Linked DNA regions of Drosophila melanogaster. The protein of the gene in region 4 interacts with the protein of the main gene of each other region in a pairwise test. Each region holds a gene or a part of one and is shown on either strand. Other genes may lie near its edges. The genes, in order: RapGAP1, Rbpn-5, l(3)05822 and sprt.

Region 1 (5,617 bases), on a different chromosome or scaffold from region 4:
AAACACAATTTTAAGCTGATCGCAGGAAGATAAAATGGTTATAAAAACCAAAAATACACGTAATAATCATGCGTGACGCATTTCAATCGAACTCCAAAGACACAGAAAACAAAACGCAAGAAAACTCGGGAACCGCCAAAAACGAGATGAAGAAAGAGGGAGAGGAATGAGACAAAAACGGAACTTTTTTGTGGTTATTTCTTTTTATAAATATTTCTCATTTGTAGTTTCTTTTCAGTGGTTTGACATTTGTCTGTGCTGATTATGTTATTCCGTCATTTCATGCACTTGTTATTGGATGGAATTTTCGTAATTGAATTGCACAAAATATTACGCACACAATTTCACTTGGTTTCAACACTTTCTTCGCTTCTGCTTTTGGATTCTTTGCTCGTTACATTTCAATTTCAGCCAACGATTTTTGTTTAAAAATTTCACTTTTAACTACGTGCGCGTATTTATGCAGCTGTTTTTTTTTTTTGGCAAACTTATTTTGATTTCTATTTGTCTTGCCCATTAAGACACCTTTGCCACTTTCGCTTCTAATTTTTTGATAAGGCCAACAAATGCGATTTCAATTTGTTGTTATTCAAGCACACACGTTCAATTAAAAGTTCGTCAAACATTTTGCTTATTGTTTGTCTATTTATTGCTTTCGTTTTCTTTCTTTTGTTTAGGCTGTTTAGGAAACCGCCTCAGTGGGATCAATTGCAAATTAATTGTTGAAGAAAGTTTGCGTGTTATGCTTAGCATGATTTGTTTTTGTTCACTTTTTTCAAGAATTCAAAACCACAAATCATCATTGCCTTAATTGGTTATATTAATTTTATAATTTTTTTGGTTGATTACCTAGCACTTTCACATATTCGAGTATTCGTTTGTTGTTTGCTCTTCTTTTTTAACAATTTTCTTGTTTGTTTTGATTTTTCCATTCGTGGCGCTTCTCGCCGTCTTCTGTTGCTGTCGATTTGCAACTGCTTTGCGTTCTACCGTTACTTTTCGAACAGCTAATGAAGAAGACGCATCAGCGTCTGGACCGCAGACCCGAAATATATTACGATTCCTGTTCCGATTCCCGATATCAGGATTTCGCGACGCAGACGCGCGACAACGCTCACACACACGCCCGGTCGTCCTCGCACACGCACACACTTAGTCGGACACTCGCTGGCTCGGACGCCCACACGAGTTGGTTCACAAATCGACTCTGAGTCGCAAAGCAGAAAAGCTGCGGGTCTGGCCCCAAACGAACACGAATGCGAGCGACGAACAACATCGTTGCGCACGAAGCTCAGATTTCAGGTTCCACTGGCGAATGCGATCCACAAACTCCACAGTGGGGGCCAAAATAATAGTGGCTGTGGATCCAGTTATGGAGATTTTATTTATGTACACATATATTATGAAGCTTAGACAGATAAAAATTATTTAATGCAGCGCAGACAAAGAAGAGTGGAATGATATATGAAATAACATGTAAAACATGTGATGATACAGATATGCATTAATTCATATTAAAGAGCAGATAATTTTATAAAAATCCGTGCTATTGCTGCGACCTTAACTGTACGTGCACGTTGCATTTTTGTTAAGGCGAGAGAGCGAGTTTGTTGTTGTTCTGCTCTCACTGCTTTTGTTGCCTTTATGGGGGCGAAATTCTTGTTTATTTACATTTATTTACATTCCAAATGCGCGCAGTTTAGGCAAACAGAAAGAGTTGTTGCCAGGGGAGAGCGGAGCTGCCCGCATTAGCCAAAGTAAACAGTTTGGAAAACAATGCAATTCAAAGAAGCCGGCAATGCAGTTGCCAGTTAATTATTTGCACAGTGTACCCCAAAAGTATGCAGAAGGCAATGATTTCCCTCCACCGAGAGATAACCAAAACAAACCGAATAACCGGAACCGGCGTGGGACACCAATACACAAGTAAACAGAGGCACGAGCCAAAAACAGTCGGCGTTCGCCCCCTTGGAAAGTGGTGTTATTCCAGAACACGTTCTTTCATGAGCCTTTTTCGAGAGAAAGTATTTTCACAATTTGGATATACCATTTTTCTGGATTTCTGATGTCAACCCGAATAAGTATTACAGAATACGAAATTGAATATGTATGTATGTATGTTATAGTAGTTATAAAAAAGAATTTTCCGTCAACTTTTGTTGACTAAACATTGTTTTTTGTCTTGTACACCAAATCTAACAATTTGTGGAAAAAGAATCACTTTGAAAAGTGTTCACAAACTTTCGACTTGTATTTGTAAATGCAAAAAATGCAGTTCTCCCGCGAACTGTTTCCACAATCCACAAAATGACGTCGGCGTGTTGCACTTGTTCCCTCGTTTTTATCATCCACATGCTTGCCGATGTTTTCGTTGGCGGCTGATAACGAACAGCTGATAACCACACGATAAACCGCAGCTGCGAGGGGCGTTTCGAAAACCCGAAAACAGATAACCAACTGTTGCATGCCCCACATTTTTGGGGTTACACATCAAAGTGAACCGCAAGACAATGGATGCCACTTCTTTGGTAGTTTCTATATAAACAGGTATGGAATGCATGCATATATTTGGTCATTCAACATTTATCTCGGTCTCCATGGAAGTGATTTACAAGAGAAAGAAATAAAATTGATTTGTTTACGATGTGTAGGTAATAAATGGGTAAAATCATTTTAAAACCTTTCAAATGCTAGGCACAAACAAATTTTAAATTCTTGACCACCTGATGCTCTGATTCTAAACGATTAACCACATTAATATCTTGGCACTCATAAAAATGAGTAATTTATTAATGAATAAATTGAAAAAAAAAACTAGTTTTTATCATTAAGTGCACTTACCTTAGTGGTTCTGTCAGCATATCTATATTCTCGCAGCTTTCCATCTCCAGTCGCTGGTATTGCAATTGCCTGGCACTCGAAGTGCTCGATCTGCCCCCTGATCCTCCCGAAATTGTGGCCGAGTTGGATGAATGGCGACGATACTCGGCGAAACTCTCGCTTTTGCGGAGACCCGGAATTTTTCCGGAACTGTTGCGCCAGTACTTGATCATCCGGTGTAGGGGCTTGGGCGAACTGGCTGCCGAACTCGGGGCCAGCGATATTTCACTGCTTCCCACTATAATCGGATGGCCATGATCCACCAATGTCCTGTAGGAACTCATTTTTATCGCCTAAATCTACTAAATTTTGAAAGGTTACTCTTGAGAATATGTACTAACAGAATATGTACTATGTACTCTAGTAATTGCATGTGTTTTTTATTAGTTTGTTTTATTATAATGAATTTATTAAGTTAATTGAAATATATACGTTTATAACTTTCCATATAGATTGTAGAATATATTATATTTTTAATTTATATTTTTCACTGCGAATTGGTACTCTTATCATTTCTACTCCGGGCTTACACTTAGATTTATTATATTCACTCATTACACAATGTGACTATAGTTATAAAATTAATTTATGTCTACATTTTTTTTTTCTTTGCATAAATTAGAATTCGTTCGTTGCATAAATCGCGTTTCGTTGGGGTTTCGATATGATGTCGCGTCGCGCCGCCTTCGATTTTCCGACTGACCGCAACAAAGAATCGGAACAGAGCCCCAAGAACCGACTTTTTAGAACCGAGCTCCATTATCTGGAGCGTTCTCCCTCGCTTGTTTTTGCTCTCCCTCTCTTTCCATTTCCATTGTTTTTATAACTTCGCACGTTTTATTGCATAGTGTTTTTTTCTGAATTTACTTATATTTCTTGCGATTTCATTATTTTAAACATACCGGGTACTTCTGATCTTAATTGGGAATATATGTACTTAAAGCGATCATATAAGCATCAAAAATCTGTTCAAACAATGTTTTTTTTTTTATATATTTATTTATTTAGAAGCGATGAATCAATACAATGCAATAACAGTAACATAACAGCGCAATTAACATATAAAAGATAAAACCAAACCTCTCACTAATCATGTGAGGACTTAATTCAAACAATGTACTATAAATAATAAATATTCTCACCTTTTTGGGGTTAATGTGTTTTATTAAAAATTAAATTTACATTTTTTAGGTTTAATTTAGAAACCACTAAAGAAGTGGATATTGTACTCTTTTATAAATATAAAAGGTATATTCCATTCTTAAGCGCCAGTTAAACGTTTTTACTAGTTTTGGATTGTATTTCAGTTTTACTGTGCTGGTGATAAATGACCGAGCTGGGATTCCGCTAAGTCAGCTCGTTTTCATTTTATTGCTGCCGATATACAAATTAAGTGTAATCCGTACATATAGAGACGTCTTTATTTATTTTTATTTACCATTTCCAGCTATCGGATATCTCAGGGTTTTCAGCACCGCCCCCTTTAACACGCCCCATGAATAGAAACCATTGTCTAGTTCAATGCTCCAATCAATCACCATTTAGACTTTGGTTAATTAATTAAACAATCCATCAAGATTTTCTCTTATCTGATTCTTACACCTTCGTTTGACATTTTCAGGTGCTGGGAAATTGATTTGCGCATAATAAGCGACGATTTTACTCAGATTTTCCTCATTTCTATGGCACTTGGAATAGGAAAAAGTAGTGTGGGGACAACTGGAAAATATAAATGTCTCATCGATGCATCAATGAGTCAAGCTGGGTTTACGATTCTGCTGCGGGTCACCACCAAGAACTTTAATGGTTCTCGAAAAGAGGGTGATAAGGAAACAGACTTCAGGGCGTCGCAATATGCACAAAAAACGGACGGAGAATAAGTGCATTAAAGTCGATGGGGGGGATGAAGACAGTGGCGTCGAAAAGTGGTTCCACAACTGCTAAATGCCGCTGCAATCGAGTTAACAGGTAATGGAATATCCAGCAAATCAGATAAATGGAACATGCAAAACAAATCGCTCGATAAGAGAGCTGTAAATATGAAAATTATAAAAAAGAAATCAAGTCGTTGTAGCTTCAAGATACTCTTTTTAGTAAAATGCATCTGCCTGCATTCAAAATAGAAAATGGCATTTCTATTTTGTCGAAATACTTCTTATCTGTTTTAATGCCTTTTGATGCATTTCAAAAATTCATGTGACTTAATAAGTGTTTAATGTTTAATTTTCCCCCTATCGCGATCTCCTAATTACAGAGTATCAAAACCAATTTAAAGTGAAATCGAAAACCCAAATCGAAATCGAATTCGCAGTTGCTACTGTAACGGTTTCGGCCACGGGAAAGTCGAGTAAGATTTATCATGACATTTCCTTGATGACGATACTCAATCGCAACCGCCCCCCTACATCAACCCCCCAGCACCGCCCCCATCCCCCATGACCACTCGAGCATCGTGTGTGCGTTGTCAAAATTACATTAAAGCGGAAATCGCATGCTCCGCTTCAGTGCCAATCGAAAGAAGACAGCAAACTGACCGCAGAGTAGAAAAAAAAACTAAAACTGCACTGCCCGCAGTCTCGGATAACTGCACTGGAAAAAACTCTTGGCTTTTCTATGTGTTCTTAAAAATCTGCTCAAGTAACAACTATTTTTTGAAAACAATCTAAATAGATACAGATAGTTTAGTATGTTCATATACATTTAGAAATATTTCTATACAATCGTATAGCTTAGGATC
Region 2 (5,720 bases), 9.7 Mb from region 4:
AAATAACCCTAACTAACCCTTCTAAAAGTGTACATATGAAATGAAATTTGGGGCAGCAGTTTCCTACGCCTTTGATTTACACACTGCCATCAATTCTTACTGATCTGTGTCTTCTACTCTTCCAATCCAGGTAATCGTATGATGGGCATCGTGGGCGTGGCAGCTGTCACTATAGTTGCTCTGATAGCAGGTCGTGTTCTATGGTGAGGTAAGCGAAATCGAATTGAAATCTAGCTATCTCCCGGCGACGGGCTAATTGGGTAATCATTTTTCTATCTCTTCCGCAGACAATGTGTGCCAAAACAAGACGTAATTGCTACTCAAGTAGTGTGATTCCCCCCTCCGTGTTTGTGCGTGTGTTGTGAAGTCTGTAGTTGCTAACGTTTTTCGTTGAGTGCGGAGATTGCAGTATTAGTTTATCATTATTTGGTAGTTGAAGTGAGAGTTGTATATACTGAATTTATATGGGCATGCCCGAAATTGTTATTACGTTTTAATATTTAGCAAATACCTATACCAATCCTAGCTCCTCGCAACCAAATGAAGACACAAATACAATTGTTAACAATAATTTACAAACTCTTTTCTTAGCATTTTTAAATAAACAAGAACACAAACTTTATGTTGCATGGCTCGCCTTTGAATTAAACAACTCAATTCATTACTTTGATATCAACTCTATTGCAGGCAAAGTTGGTTCAAGTAGAGATGTGCGGCGACAAACAACAAAAATTTAATTGTTTTTAATTTGTATATTTGCTTTGAGTTAAATTCAGTTACGAAAACTTACCTACGACGAAAGCTAACATAGACAACTCATCGCTTACGTTATGTATAGGGCCAAAATAATGGAACAACAAAATCGGAAATAGACATTGGCAAATGGAAATGGGCATTGGAAAGGTTTGACCTCGGATCGTAATCGTAGTATCGGAGCACAGAAATAGAGCAATAGAGTTCAAGGAGATACCAACTAATCGTAATCGTACTTCACACATAATACACAATCACTTGGGCTTGGAGCCCAAACGCCTAGTTGGACTGCTGCTGCTGCTGCTGGCCTTGCTGCTGCTGCGGCGGCTGTCCCTGACTGAAGTAGGGTGCGGTGTTTGGCGTGAGCAGCGTGTGACAGATATCACAGACTCGGGCCACTCGCTTCCGTGGTCCAGATGGCACCGTTTTCGTTAGACACTTATCGCAGTAGATGTGGCCGCAGTGCCGGCAATGGATCTTGCGCACCATGACCGTGAAGTAGGCATTGCACGTGGGACAGTTGTTCACATCGTCATCGTCCTGCCAACGCACCTCCGTGTCGGCATGCCGCAGCTCCTCCAGCGACATCTGTGGCACAACACAATGTAATTAATTAAGTGAATAAACCATATATTTTTATATCTCACTCACCTGAAGCGTTTGAGATAGTTTGACAAAGTCCTTTTGAACAGTCTCCATGGTGGAGAGTTCCTCCTGTAGTGTTTTTATCTTCGTCTTGTAGTCTGCATTTGTTTTGGCGTACTTTTCCTGTAATGTGATCTGGTTAGCGAAGAATCAAGTGTGACAACAAAATATGATAGCTTACATTGGCCTCTTGCAGCTCAATGATCTCCACGCGACACTCGGAGAGCTGCTTGTTCAGCTCAGCCTCTTTGCGCTCCAGTTGGGTTTTGGTAGTCTCGTACGCTTGTACCGTGACCAAGTGTTCCGTCACCCGATCCCTGAAAATTCATTTAAAACGTGGGCCAAAGTGAACACCACCATAGACAAGAGGTTGTAACTTACTGCAGTGACTTAATATCTAGTTGCATTTTGCGCTTGTAGGCCCGCCTTTCATTGTTGCTCTCCTCCAGCTGGGCCCGCAAGATCTGAATCTCATCTTCAGTGCTGGTGCACTTCTGTCGCTCGTATTCGCTGCTGACGCGTGCTTGGATTAGCTCGCTTTGCTGTCGCAGTATCAGCTCCTGGAGCTCGACGACCGTGTTGGGCAGATTGATATATTGGTTGTCGATCTCCTCGGACGTGGCCAGATAGCGACCGGACAGAAAGTCGTTGTCCGCCTGCAACGTCTCCAGTTGCTTGTTGACCCGCTCTCGGTCGTCGGAGACGCGCTGGATCTGCTTAATAACCTCGTCCTTGGTCTCGAGAAACTTTTGCTGCATGTCCAGCAGTCGCTGCTCGTTGGTTTTGGCCTGGTCACGCAGGCTTTGTACTTCGCTTTTGTGGGCCTCCCGCTTTTCTTGCCACTGGTCCTCCAGATCCTTGCGCAATGCCGCCTCCTTAACCAGTGTCTCCCGGGATTCCACCAGCTGCTTTTGCAGCAGATCCACCTGTTTCTGCTGTTTGTTTATATGGGCACCCAGCTCTTCGGTCTTCTTTTCTGCCAAGCTGCACGACTCGCAGGCGCTCTCGGCGACGTCCATGGACGTGGACTTGTGCAGGGCGGATTCATCGGACGCCGACTTGGCCTGCAGTTGCTCGTCCTGTTCGCGCAGCTTCACTTTTAGTGCCTTCATCTCCTCCTGAAGCTGCTCGACAATTGAGTGCATCATCTCCGCCTCCTCAGGAGCCTGCAATATAAGCTCAGTTAATTTGATAGTTGAAAGATTAGTCCCGAAAACATACGTATTGCTTGCCATTGCCCTTGCTCGATGCCCGGGTGTCCTCGTCCTGCTGAAAGCTGCTGTTCAGGGAGTCGGTGCCCAGTTTACGCACAGAGCCTAGTGTCTTCTTGACCTGATTGAGCACCTGCGGCGCTATACCGCCAGATGACTCGGCCTGCGGTTGTTGAGCCATCGTCTGCTGTTGAATCTGCTGGTACTTGCCCAGCTCCAGCCTGAGCCGTTCCACCTCGCCTTTGTAGTGCGCGGTCTCCTCGATAGTGTCCTGCACCAGCTGCTGCAGCGAGGAGATCTCCTCCTGCGCCTTGAGGTCCCTCAGCTGCAGCTCGTTCTGCGACTTAAGGTCCGCCACCATTAGGTGTGTCTTCAGCTCGTCCAGCTCCGCCTGCAGCTGCCGTCGCTCCTGCTGGCTCTGGCTGACCTCCGCCTCCTTCTGGATGTACAGCTCCCGCATCTTCGCCCGCTGCGTGTTGAACTCGTTCTGCATTTTGCGCATCTCGTTCTGCAGGTGACTGAGTTTGTGCTGGCTGGTCGCGTCATCCTCACCTGCCGTTGGAGTTATGGGTTAGTTATCGGCTGTTCAGGCTTCCTGTGGTGCTGCCTTACCATTGGGCAGGTCCGTGGGTTCCCTGGCCTCTGACCGGGTCTCGTTTTCTTCCATTTTCTATATTGTGTGATGGCCAATTTATTAGTTTATATGTACATATGTGAGCGCACCAATTAGAACATATACATTTGAGCGATTTTCAACACTGCTCTTGGTGTTACCATATTTGAATAATACCGATAGTTAATACTTTAGTATTGCTTGGCAGTGCCGTTAAAAAAGGTTTTCAAAATCTAACTTTATTGAGCTTGATAAACATCTTTTGGGATTAAGTTTTCTATAGAAGTATAGAAAGTTTAAAATATTTACTTACAGATACTTGGTAAAATAGTTTTAATAATTTCCCTTCGCCAATTTGCAAATGTATTCTTATTTTATGTCCTTTTAATGTGTCCTTTTTAAGAACCCGTTTTATTAAGTTAAAAGTCGGAATCCTTTAAAATCACTCCTTTGTCCTTTTATATCTTAGTCTAAAATCTAAATCTAGATATTCCTCGAATTTTTTGTTATCATCAGCCATCAGGAACTATAAATAGAAAAAGAAAACAAATGGGTAAGGAATATAAATAAACAATACCATATAATTTAAATTTGTATAATGTTTATAATTGCATCTTAATCGTTCTTAATTATTTAGGATTTTCTTAAGCATTTCCTAGAAAGTGTTTCAACATTTGTGTGTAAGCCAAATGACAACGGCAGAATATATTAGACACAATTCTATGAAAAGGTAAATGACTGCCGATCATGAATGACTAATACCGTCAGTTCTTTTAATTTTATGCAAATTATTAAGCGCCAGAAACGCGAGAAAACGCTAAGAGCTGATAAATTATGAGAGGAAAATGAATACTTCAATAATGCCTAGCTAATGAGAAAACATATTTAAATATAACAATATAGCAAACTATTTGAGATAACAAAACTACGCGTTAACCAGAACAAAACTCGATTTCAGAATTTCGGCATCGGCTGAGGAAGCCGAAAACTTGACTAATTATAAAATTATCATGGCTGTACACTACCAGAAATTGGAAAACATTTTAGTCGATAGGTAAAAAATAATTGTACGCTGTAACTAATGTTAACTTTAAACATTTGTTAACCACCTTATAGCCAATAATATTAATTAAATCATAGCATTAGGCATTACATAGACCATTTTTTTCGTCAGTGTACGCTGAGATCCGTTGGGTCTTCTAGGTCTTGGACTTGTTGGCAGGCTTGTGAGCTCATGACTTTCGATGTCGTCATAGTCGGCAGCCGGAGATTCGTGGCCGATACAAATACTACAGCATTATGCCCAGCGACAACAGCAGCGATGTTGGCCAAAATATTTGGCGTCTGTTCAGTTCGCATTGGATTCAGGAACGAGGCGGTCGGAAGCGGGAAAAAAAAGTACGCGAAGAAATAAATACGCGGCGCCTTGGAATCGCGACGGCATTTCTACTTATAAACTTAAAAATAATACAAATATATAAGTACAACCGCCGCGATATATGTATGTGAACGGAACTTGAATAATGACCATAAAGTGCCCAATGTTTTGAGTTCCTACGGATATCAATTAGAAAATTGCAAAGCGAATCCATATAGATTCCCGGATATACCAAAAAAAAAACCGACCATGTCGCAAACCCAGAGCATAACACCCATTCCCAGCACACCGCCGCCTTCACGGCGGGCAAATCGACCGCCCAGGATCAACATCCACAATCTGACCAGCGGATCGGCAATGAGCCAGGCATCGATGCCACCCAGTGCCCAGCCACCCTATACGGCCCAAACGAACTTCACGGGCAATGGAACACAGGGACCCTACTGGCCACCAATGGCCAATCCCTTCGGATACGGCAACTTTATGACCAAGGGCTACGAGGGCTTCCTCGATATCACAAAGTCGGGCTTGAGCTTCGGCGAGAAGATGACCTTCGGCATGTACAAGTGGTCGCGCCGATGGTTCACCCACATCTTCCTCATCCTCATCCTGGCACTATACAATATCGGCGGTGCCGTTGTATTCCGCACAATCGAAGGTGAGATCCATGACCCAGAACATCCAGCTTCTATAGATCAATTGGCTTATCAACTGCCTGAAGATAAAGTGCTCTCCTCTAGAGACAATTTCATTAGGTTACAGCCGAAAAAGTTAAGATATTCAAGAAATCCTAGAGAAGAAGTGCACTGAATGAGTTTGTTTGCTTATCAAGCTCTTCGGAAAATTGTTTGGAAAATAGTAAACAGTTCAGTTGCCAGCCATTCAAATAAATACACCTGTGCTGTATTGTAATCGTAAAAACATCCCCATCAATTTGGCAGACGACTGATTTCGGTATCCGAGTTCATGAAACACTCGAAAAAACAAGAACTTATTTAAGTTTTAAATTGAATTTTATTGAGTTTTAAAAACAAAACTATACAGCTGGGTCTTTTGATTCAATTCGATTGGAGTAAGATGTTTTATATTAGTTGGCTTTAGGTTTTTTTGATATCATTTG
Region 3 (5,419 bases), on a different chromosome or scaffold from region 4:
CTCAGCTAGTGTGAATGCAAAATTTCATCATTTTTCTGGGATATCGATGATGTTGGGTAACAAAATGAGAAAATATTTTAACAATTTTCAAAAGTGTGGGCGTGACCGCTTTAACGGCTTTAGGGCGTTAGAGTGACGTGGCAAAAAGCCACGATGCGTGGTCCAAGCTTCCGGAGTTCAAAAAAAGATTTTTTGTACTCGGCTAGCTTTGCCCTACTCTACGATTAACGGTTATAAAAACACGCCCAACTTTTGGCTTCCTTCGCTGGTGTCAGTAGTTGTTTTTCAAGCGCCTCAAAACCTGCCCAATATGGCAGAATCAGAATCGAAAAGAACGTGCCCGCAATGCGTTCATGCAATTAAGCAAATTACGGAGAGAACAACGAAGCCGAAATCATTCAATTTACATCAAGTGCGATAAAGATGGGCAATGATGGGAAAACAGAGCCATGCTTTGTTCAATTCTTTGAGGTTAAGGTTTATTGAGCTCTGGCGATCTTTAAAAGGCAGTCTCGTTCGTCGAAAGAGCTCTTTATCATCGAGGGGTTAAAGATTAATGAGCGCTTGTGGATACAGCTTGAATCTGGTGCGACAACAATCTTTACGCAGATACACGCTAGCAAATATTTGATCGGCAAATTTGGCGCTCTAAGCAGCAGCAGTCTTAACAGAAAAAAAAAATCTAAAATTCTTATAGGGGAGACCGGAAAAGGCGAAGAACAGGCAAAAGCCCAAATGCAAAAACGGGTTTTACTTACTTAACCCAAGATTTTGCATAGTCTTCACAAGTCTTCCTACTAATTTTTATTTGCTATGCAAAAGCGGAATGAATAAGTATGAAATAGGTGAAATAACCATTCTACATTGTCAGCACGTTTTCCTGTTCATCGTATACATACGTACGTATTATGTATGTATGTATTTTTCTGTACTTTTTGTTCTCCCTGCCGTTCCATTCCAGCTCGTGCAGTTCGTTCTAAAAGCGTATTTACATACACACAACTATTGATAGACATACTGCATATACAATGTAGTTTTGTGCTAAACCCACAAATTCTAGACAAACAATGCGGTCTGAAAATTGCACGTTTGCATGTAAAATATATGGGGAGCAGCAGATGAAATTCATCACTGAATGCTCCTCCATCTCCTACCCCTGCAATCCACTCGTGCGTTTCATGGCGGGACACTTGGCGAATGTGGGTCAAAGTTGAACACAATCAGAGCTGAAAGCTTACATCAGTACTTTCGAACACGCCCACATTTCTGTGCACTCCAATGTGTATCCGAGTACTGAGTGCAAAAGCAAAACACTTGCCGCCCATTTCAGTAGTTAAAAAACAATGCACTTTGAAAAGCCTATAAAGAGGATCTTTTGTGCCATTTGCGTGTAGCATCAGATTCAGTCGTATAAATGATACCCTTGGGCGTATAATAATATTTAATATTCTGATACTTTTTGATATCATCTGCCGTTATCATAACGAAACGGTGTATACGATTTAAGTAAGCATATTAAACCGCTTTATTGCTTGGCATTTCATAAGATTGCACTTCTCTAAAAGATTGTGTAATATATATATATATATATGTATATATACATTGCGTGATATACATTTCCTGTTTTTGTCATATGAAGATTGCTCTGCGAAGGGTTTTTATCACTGGGCACTGGCGTAGAGAAAAAGGGTGCTGGAATAGCATATGTTATATGGTTATGGCTACCATGTGAGGATCGCCCGAAAGTCAGTCAGCTGGAAAGTGAGGTAAGCGCGCAAATGCACCACCTGCTGCGTCCGAAAGTGACAAAACGAAAACGAAACTCCTTCGGTTTTCTATTTTATTAATGGGTAAAGAAGAAGCTTCGTGCAGAGTTACACAGAGAGAAAAACTGCAAATGTATGACTCGTAAAAAAAGTGTATTTAGTGACCAATGGTGACCATTTGAAGCGGTATTTATGTAGGCAGCTGTTCTCTAATAATTCCAGTTATTCGTTAAATGCAATGACAGTGTTTTTCGTGTGCTGGCGATTATGCAGTCAAAACAGAAAATGGGTTTCCCATCCCATCCATAAATGTCACTGTACTCCCCGCTTATCGCTTGAGGCTTGAGTAAACAGTCGGAACAAACGTAGCATATCGGTTTATGCAATACTTTTTGAATTGTACAATAACTATTGTGCAGTCGCCAAGTTTCCCCTTTTGCCTTATACTTGCAGTCAGCCGGGCAAACATTTAATTAATTAACAAATGCGACCTTGACTGGAATTTCAATTAAGTAAGTAGCTTGAGCAAAACTTTGATGAGAATGGTGGAGTGATGTTACATATGTATGTATGTTTGCAAAAGCAAGCAGTTGTCAGGGTGATGTTGTGGTTAAATATCAATTGCGGGTAACTAACCTTTTGGTGATTTCCGATTCGTTCCGATCCGATTCGTTTCGATTCAAAAAAAAAAAACCGATCCGCAAAGTTGGTTTAGTGGTTTTTTTTTGTCTTTGCCTTTTTGGTTCGCAGAGGGTGGACCAAAACAGTTAAAAGTTAAAGAGAGTGACTAATGCCGCACGCACACAGTCGCACTCAATTTGTTGTCATACACACACAGAGAGACAAGCGCACACTCGCGGGCATCAACTTTGCACTCTTCTCACCCCCTCTCGCTCGTTCACTCGCATTCAAGGTGGTTAACGAGAGGTGAGCCAACAAAAACAACAACAGCAGCAGCCGCGGAGCGCACTCACACACACGCGCTAAATAGCTGAACAGCAGCTGCAAAAGTAGTAGCACGTATCCGCAGAGACAAAAACGAAGAAAGCAGGAGATGGAGAAGGAAGTGCGCCTGCAGCTGCGACAATTATCACCCGATTATTTCGCAGCGTGTATTGCGAAATGTGCGCCTTCGATTTGCTAAATACTTTTGCTTAATTATACGCACGCACACACACACCAAGGCACTTTCCCATAACGAATTTAATTCAATTCAACGACGTGCTGCACGAATCGCTTTCAGCTGTGCATTTAATAGCGATATTTGTCGGCCTTGATATGCGTCGATGTTTTTCAATGGTGTCGCAGAAGAGTTATGGAATAATTTAATTATTTTTCGTTTTTATTGCGCCGCGAACGCGTCCGTTATGTTGATTCTGCCAGAGTGACCGTGGCTTGCAGTCGAAATAATCCAGCGATTAAAAGTTTAATTTTCCCGCGGTTTTCAGCACTGTTTTCTATCGATTAATTTAAATGCTTAGATGTGTTTCCACTGGCATCATGGTTATAATAGGTTTTAACTTGTTTGGTTCCTTTTGAAAGTACTTAATCTAATTATACTCTCCTTGACTAATTGCTTTGGAAAATGTTGATAGCGAAACCTTTGTTTTTAATAAAAGACAACTGTTTCTTCTCTTGAAATCTCTAGTGTGAAGATGCTGAAATGACCCACGATGTAACCGTTTCTCCGGTTAAATTGCAACACAGTCTGACCAGATCAAGGTGCCCAAGAAAATACTTCCAAATTAAAAGCAAACTTTGCTTTCCGCATCCCTTAGAAAAATAGAATCCCGATATATATTATTTGGACTGCTCGAACGCCGCCGACGAGCCCAAAAACGCGCGCACATTTACAACGACAACAATACAAACTTGAGCTCAGTACGTAAACTTTTTTGACCAGCTGCCGTTAGAAGCAAATCAAAGCTGCGACGATGGATGACTCACGCGAAGAAAGCCAGTTCATTGTGGACGACGTGAGCAAGACGATTAAAGAGGCCATCGAGACGACCATCGGCGGTAACGCCTACCAGCACGACAAGGTGAACAACTGGACCGGCCAGGTGGTGGAGAACTGCCTGACGGTGCTCACCAAGGAGCAGAAGCCCTACAAGTACATTGTGACCGCCATGATCATGCAAAAGAACGGTGCTGGACTCCACACCGCCAGCTCCTGCTACTGGAACAACGACACCGACGGATCGTGCACAGTACGCTGGGAGAACAAGACCATGTACTGCATCGTTTCGGTCTTCGGACTGGCCGTCTAGAGTGGAGGAATGGCAGGACTGCCGGAATTCGCGATGAAGATGACTTAAAAGGGGGAGGGACTAACAAGATTGCCGTCGTACACCAGCACACACCAACAACACAAATACCATACTTTTTTGATCGGCCATCCATCCTGCTGTAATAACAAAATTTATTATGGAGCACTTGAAAACCTTGTCGTCACTTCCAAGCAATTAGCAAGCAACTATTCCGTTGCCAGTGTACTCGCCTAATGTTATTCTTGATTTTCAATCTAAAAACGTAAATAAAAAGTGTATAATACCGTAGCATAATAAGTTAATCATTGCAAACTGTTTTCAATGGGTCATCATTTTTTGGGTCGTGGGAATATTTTTCGTTTCCATGGCAGCAATTGGCCATTGGTCTAAAATCGATTTAAATTCCCAGGCATTTGTTAAAATTAAACTTTAATGGTCTTTCTCTTATTTCTTTATTTATTTTAGTTTATCAAAACCTTCTATCGTTTAGAATAATAATATTCCTTCTGGCATTGCCCAAAATAACAAAATCAGAAGTACCTGGATGCAATAAATGTAATTGGCGCGCCAGGGTTTGTTAAATCGATGGCGGGCGCGGTGTCCTTGAAGATACTCCTACTTCTTGCGCTGGAAGCGACGGCCCGACTTTAGAGCCGGAACCTTGCTGGGCAGGCGCAGGCTAAGGATGTCCGAATTGGATTTTGGCAGAGCGTTCACAATGTGGGCGTACTGCTTGATCCGAGCCTTGGTGGTGGCCAAAGCACGGGAGAGGACATTGATGTCCACTTCGAACTTCTCACTGAGGAGCAGGGCCATCACAATAAAGTGTGTCAGTGCCTTTTCACTGCTGAAATTGGTGCGAGTTCCCTTCTTTGCCACATTGGGATCCGCAAAACGATGGCGTATATCATTCTCGATCTTCTCCGTGATACCAGAGAGCTCAGCCTTTTGCATTTGACGCGAACGAAGGGAAATTAGCGACTGCAAGGCGTCCATGTAGATGATAAGTTTAATGTGCAAGAAGTCTCGCTTGGATGAAACGGGATTTTCCTGAATTTTGGCCAAACATGACTTGAGGTATTCCGATTTAATGCTGCAAGGAACAGAAATTTTAACATTTAAATGTTACTGCTTTTACCAAACTACATACGGTAGAGTCTGCACAGGCGTGGAGAACACCACTTTGGCCTCCTCCTCGAGACGTTCGAGCAGAGAGCTCGGGATCAAACTTTCCACAGCGTAGACTTCGTCCACTTTGGTTGCCTCCTTGTTGAACTCGGGCACAATGCTGGCCAGGTACTCCTCATTGTTGATGCTCACATCACCCAGGGTGCCGTCCTCTTCGTCTTCGTTGAGCATGCTCGAATTCACCGTTTCGTCCAG
Region 4 (5,488 bases):
TCAGCAGAGATCTCGATCTCGGATCTTCAGTTAGCCATATATCAAATGCATTCCGTTCGGATGTCGATAGTTTGCTGCGCGTATGCTAAATATCTTCTGCCCACACAGCGAATGCTGGATTTTATGTAAATTCAATAGCTTGAAAATCAAATCAAATTTCTGTCTATCTCACGGAGGGGGCGTTACCAGCCCCGCTCCTCTGCTGTTACTTGCTAACTATTAATTCTCTTTCAAGCGCGCCTACAAAATTGTTGCGAGATGAGCTCAGTGCGCGCCCACAATTTGTTGGAACAATGCAAAAATATTTTGCTCAATTACTTAAATGGAGATGACACCTGGTTCTAATATATATATATTTGTTTATATATACGCGTAATAACTTGATTCGAAGCTCTGGCTGTTACGCCTGCTTTAATGCAAATGGAAAAAGCCAACGGCTTGTGCGCTGTTAGAACTAGCAGATACGGACGCTGTTAACTTTTCCAGCTGTTAGAAGCGTTCTGACTGCGGTTATGCCTATTGCGCTTTGGCCAGCGTTTCAACAGAGCCTCTTTAGCTCAGTGGCAGAGCACTGGTCTTGTAAACCAGGGGTCGTGAGTTCAATCCTCACAGGAGGCATTTGTACGAAATCATGTTTTTATTTTTATTTTCATATTTGAATATTTCCTACAAGGTTGAAACAATTATCAAAATTAACTTAATTCAGTTTCACTAACGTTTTGGCGTTATAATTACCTTTATGAATAAATATTTGCCCCCCGGGCTTGCCACCAAATAAGTTTTGTTTTTGTTATTTACGAACAACGTGGTTTTCCTATAAACCTTAACCCTGCTTAGTTTGTAGTTTCCCAACACCTGCAGCTTGTCTGTTCGAGTTATTTACGAGCTGAAATATTTCTCTTGGCACTAACACACTGCGGCTGCTCACAAATTAGCCCAGCTTGACAATTGGCCTGACTTGTCGGGCATTATTATGTGTGCACAAGTGTCACAAGCGCAGCCCCGACATTGATAATTTTAATCGCCCCGGAGGCTGCTCACTACATGGCCAACTCAATGGACCAGACCGGGCTAAGATGGCCCCACAACTGGCCAAGAATATGCTTAATGGACTTGACATAAATATGTAAATTTCTTTGTTTTGGGGTTTATATCTTTCTTTTTGTCTTTCTACTTTGAGAGACTTCTGTAGAAAAGGTCGTTGGTTTGTTTATTTGGCAAGCAGTTCTAATAAACTTTTTATTATATCATAGACGGGGGCAACCGCTTTGTTCTCTTTTTTAATAAATTGATTTGCAGCTTTATATTTCCATCATTTGAACATAAGTTTGATAAGAAAGAATGTACAAAATCTGCTCGATTTTAAATATATATTACGAAGCGGCTCAGATAATTAGGTTAAGAAACTTGTTTCGACCCATACGGCATACGGTCATGGAATTGACCCCAAGTTCACCACCAAAATATATAGATTTCCATTGTTTGTTTGCGGAGTGATCACTGTACGGGCTGTTTGCTGTGCAGCTGTTGCCATTTCAGCTGATAATTGCCCATCATTTTCACTGGGCAATTAGTCTCGGGCATATTTTTCTACACAGTGTGTATTTATCGTTCACAGTTAGAACGTCAGCTGTCTTTAGACCGAGATGCAGATTGGGGTCGCGAAAGTCTCCGCACTGGACAAATCACTTATGCAAATCAATTCTAGAAAGTCGGCCTGCGATTAGGCGCTATAAGAAAGTGCAAATTGCCCTGGTCAAATGATCGGAAATACGATCAAAACGAAAGCGAAATCGATGCGGATAGTTTTGCCTTGGTTTATTTTGAGAAGATGAAGAGATTTGCAGCTCTCGTTTTAATTGTTACAGCGCCTCTTTGAATGAAAGTGAAAACCGCAACCGAAACAGTTACCCCGAATAGTCAACAATCACAGGTCGACGATGTATGCAAAGTTATCTAGCCAAATCTCGGCTTTCTATTCCCACTTAATGGACGAAGAAGACGAAACAAAAGTCAGCATAAATGCGTTGATGCACCTCAGTCCACACATGGGCGAGAAATCACGACATGAAGCCCACATAAAAAATAAAATACAGTCATTCGAAAATTACCATATCCAACAAATACCCGAAAAACAAACTCTGATTAGGTTGTTAGCATTGAAAAAAATCGAGAAACAGACAAAAGTCACAGACGAACGGCCAAAAGAATCCGAAGAATATGTAAATGACACTCTAGAGACCCCAAAGACATCCTGCCGATAAAGGGTTTGGCATTTCAATGAAGAAATGGAAGCGGAGAATACATTTCGTCTTAGAGGGCGTTCAATTGTTATTCAAATGCAGCCAGTGACTCCCAAAAGGAAATATCTAATTAAAATTAATGACAAAAGCGAGATGGGTGATGTTCAGACCGAGATACCAGCCGAACCAACAGAACCTGCCACTGCATTTGAGCCACGATTCGAAAGGGGTCTGTAGAACGTATTAGAATCGTAGATTGTGATTCAACCGCAAAATTCTCAGACGTAATTATATGTATGGTCGGTCGGTTAGAGATCGAGTCATTTTTGACTGATTGATTGTGGCTGCTTTGAGGAATTCTATTAGAAATTTGAACCTAATTTTTCTGTATTCTATGACGAGACATTGAACTTGATTGTGGCATAATGAGCAAAAAACCATGCTATTTACTGCCTTATCTGCGCCTCATCAACAAACCAAATCGCGTTTTAATAGACGGTCGGCTAACTAATTTATTTCGGAGCCTTCAATTATCCCTGCCGCTTTTGTTATGATAGGAAAGAGTTATACAACAGTTCGAAAGTTCCTCCATATTCAGATATCAGAATTGTTTTTCAAGGGGATTATGCAAGACAAATTCCAAGTAAAGATGAGGAGCGGCCTTCTGAAGAGATAAATTGCCCCATCATCATTATTGTTTTGTCTGCGACGACCCCGTTTGCTCTAAAGAGGCCGCACTGTATTTTAGAATGCAACAATTGAACGCTGCTTAACCTTTCGCTTTTCGCAAGTGATTTTCGCTCTTCATTTGTTGCCATTGTTATGGGCGATGAAAACTACTTACCAGCTTAAAGTAGTACGGATCCCAGTTAAAAGTCAACCAATAACTCTGAACAATGGCAATGTGCGCAAATTAATGGCAACATTTCATTTCATTGCATTTGATTTGTTTGATTTGGTGGAGGGAGGGAAGCCTCAATTTGGTGTATTGTATTGTGCGAATTATTTACACTTGGGACATAAATCAATGATGTCAATGCTTAAACCGATTGTGTTTGAAACCGCATCGAAACCGTTGCTAAAACGCGATCGGCACATTTAGTTTTATTTTTTTTTTGTTAATTATTTCCGTTTGCAGCGACTTAATAACTCATACTATTTCCGCTGTGCGTTTCCTCTGTTTATGCAGGATGCAGGAAATTTGCTTTCAAATGGGCCAAGTAAACAAGTAAACAAAACGCACAAATTCACGTAGGTTCAGGTTGATTGAAGAAGGTCCACGAATTCACGCAGGCGCAGCGGAGGGCTAATCACAAAATCGGGTTCGGATTACACGGAGAGTGCGAGCACAACCGATCGCGTCGACGATTGGATGAAGTCTGAACATCGTGACTTTAGCGGCAAACGGGCATTACATGAAGCCGCTCTCTCGGCTTCTCACTCACCGGCTCTCACCACTGCACCCTCTCTGTTTTTTTGTCGGTGTTGTATGGATTTGCTTATAAAGAAAAGCTAAATAGCTGAAAAGGTCTGTGAAAAAATAGACAAATATGAAATTGTGCGTAAAAGAATTGAGATAGATATCTAATTTGAAATATGATTAGGTGGCTTAGTAAAAAGTTCTACAATTTTAAATTTCTAACTCGAAGAATGGTTTAGAATTATCATAATCATATATATGTATATCCATTTTTAGCTCAAAAGGAGCTAGGTGTGTTGAACTGGTGGTGGGTGAGTGAGTGAGAGAGCGGTTCTGTAGAGCGAGTACTTGCGAAGTGCACTGGTCCCTGGATTTGGATTTATTGGGTTATAGTTGGTGCGACCGAGGCGCTGTGATCGTAATGGGTAAGATGGGTAGTGGTAATAGAGTTCCAGTGCATTGAACTCCACTCCCTCGACTTTTCGGTGGGTGTCTTTGGCTATTTTGACAGCTGCCGCTGCATCTGAGATTTTACGATGCAGCGCGTATCTTAAACTGCTCATTTGCCTGCTGATGCAGTTGCATCACCGAGATCGGCGTCATCGACATATGGCACTCGGTTTTATATAGTGCCCTCTATCTGCCCTTTATCTTAGGCGCTTCGGTCCGATGAGTTCGCTCGTGCGCAAAGTCAATTAAAATGATCACAACAATCCCGAAAAAAACCCTTTGCCATGTGCCGAGGGTAAAATGCGCATGCGTAGGGGTTGATGGCGTTGATTGTATTTCCCTTCATTAAATGCAGCCCAAAAATAGATACACAACAAAGCCGAAATTCAAGAGCGGGCATAAATCAAAATTAAACAAAAATTAAAACAGGAAAAAAGGATTACGCATGCGCCTCTCGTGCGCTTTAAGTGCGTCATATTTTAACCCTCTGCCCGCCTAATTGCGAAACTTTCTGCGGGCTGATATCGTTTCGATTAGCTAATGTGAGGCAGGGCCACTGGCTATAAATCAAATCTTGCGAGTGAAATGTGCTTTACCGTTAGACCGAGTCTATTACCAAATCTGAAAGCGGATGACTGCTCATTTCCATACACGTTTGTGACTTCAGTCTTTCGTTTCTTCAGCGCACCAAGACAAAAGATCGAGAATGCGGAGAATCGAAGAGATATTTGTTGCCTGTCGAATAATAAAAACGAAAGAAATAGAAACACTTCCTCTCCGAAAAGAAAAACAAAGGAAAATCACTTGACGCTGTCAGTTACGCGAAACCACTTTTTATGGTTTTTCATCCCGAACAAAATAAACAACGACACAACCGAAAAAAAAAGAAACGAAGACCGCAAGTGGCTGGAAAAACTAAACTTGCTTTGGGTTTCCCTCGCTTTTCCGAGAATAAGATTGAATCGGGATTTGGGATCGGCTCTTGAATTGAGGATGAGGTCGGGGCCAAAGGCCAGGCCAAACATTATAAACTCGAACATTTTGTGGCACTTGAAAAATGGAAAAAACCGAGGGAGAGTCCTGTTTCGTAATTTATGCCAAGTGGATGAGATTTCAATGACCGAACAAGTAGCCGCTTGCAACCTCAATTAAAACCGTATTTATGCCATCATAAAGAAAACATTGCGTTGCGCTACCTGGACTCACTTTCCACTGCCGATCCTCATTTTTTCATGTTTCCTTAAAGGTGTGCGTGTCCATGGAGCATTTCCAAGATCGCGAGACGACATAAATTGTCTCACCAGCTAAAAACCAATGGGAGCGGAACTTGATCGCGTTTTTGGAACGCCCAAAAGTCCTTGCACAGGTGACAGGT

Evidence for each region.
Region 1: the proteins of sprt (region 4) and RapGAP1 interact in a two-hybrid assay, tested with the Drosophila melanogaster proteins (one large-scale study listed by BioGRID).
Region 2: the proteins of sprt (region 4) and Rbpn-5 interact in a two-hybrid assay, tested with the Drosophila melanogaster proteins (one large-scale study listed by BioGRID).
Region 3: the proteins of sprt (region 4) and l(3)05822 interact in a two-hybrid assay, tested with the Drosophila melanogaster proteins (one large-scale study listed by BioGRID).

The regions. Positions count from the first base shown.
Region 1 is NT_033779.5:7,575,396-7,581,012, forward strand, and holds the start of RapGAP1 (Rap GTPase activating protein 1), read right to left. Parts: upstream 3,586-5,617; 5' UTR 3,165-3,585; coding exon 2,842-3,164; intron 1,213-2,841; exon of another isoform or gene 850-1,212; intron 619-849; exon of another isoform or gene 339-618; intron 1-338.
Region 2 is NT_033778.4:21,087,651-21,093,370, forward strand, and holds Rbpn-5 (Rabaptin-5), read right to left. Parts: upstream 3,355-5,720; 5' UTR 3,277-3,354; coding exon 3,222-3,276; intron 3,162-3,221; coding exon 2,620-3,161; intron 2,565-2,619; coding exon 1,780-2,564; intron 1,716-1,779; coding exon 1,580-1,715; intron 1,522-1,579; coding exon 1,405-1,521; intron 1,342-1,404; coding exon 1,033-1,341; 3' UTR 736-1,032; downstream 1-735.
Region 3 is NT_033777.3:18,295,722-18,301,140, forward strand, and holds the start of l(3)05822 (lethal (3) 05822), read right to left. Parts: upstream 3,159-5,419; 5' UTR 2,403-3,158; intron 1-2,402. Other genes in the region: Dlc90F (dynein light chain 90F), read left to right, coding at 3,701-4,036; Polr1E (RNA polymerase I subunit E), read right to left, coding at 4,652-5,129, 5,187-5,419.
Region 4 is NT_033778.4:11,393,807-11,399,294, forward strand, and holds the start of sprt (sprite), read right to left. Parts: upstream 3,627-5,488; 5' UTR 3,088-3,626; intron 619-3,087; exon of another isoform or gene 547-618; intron 1-546.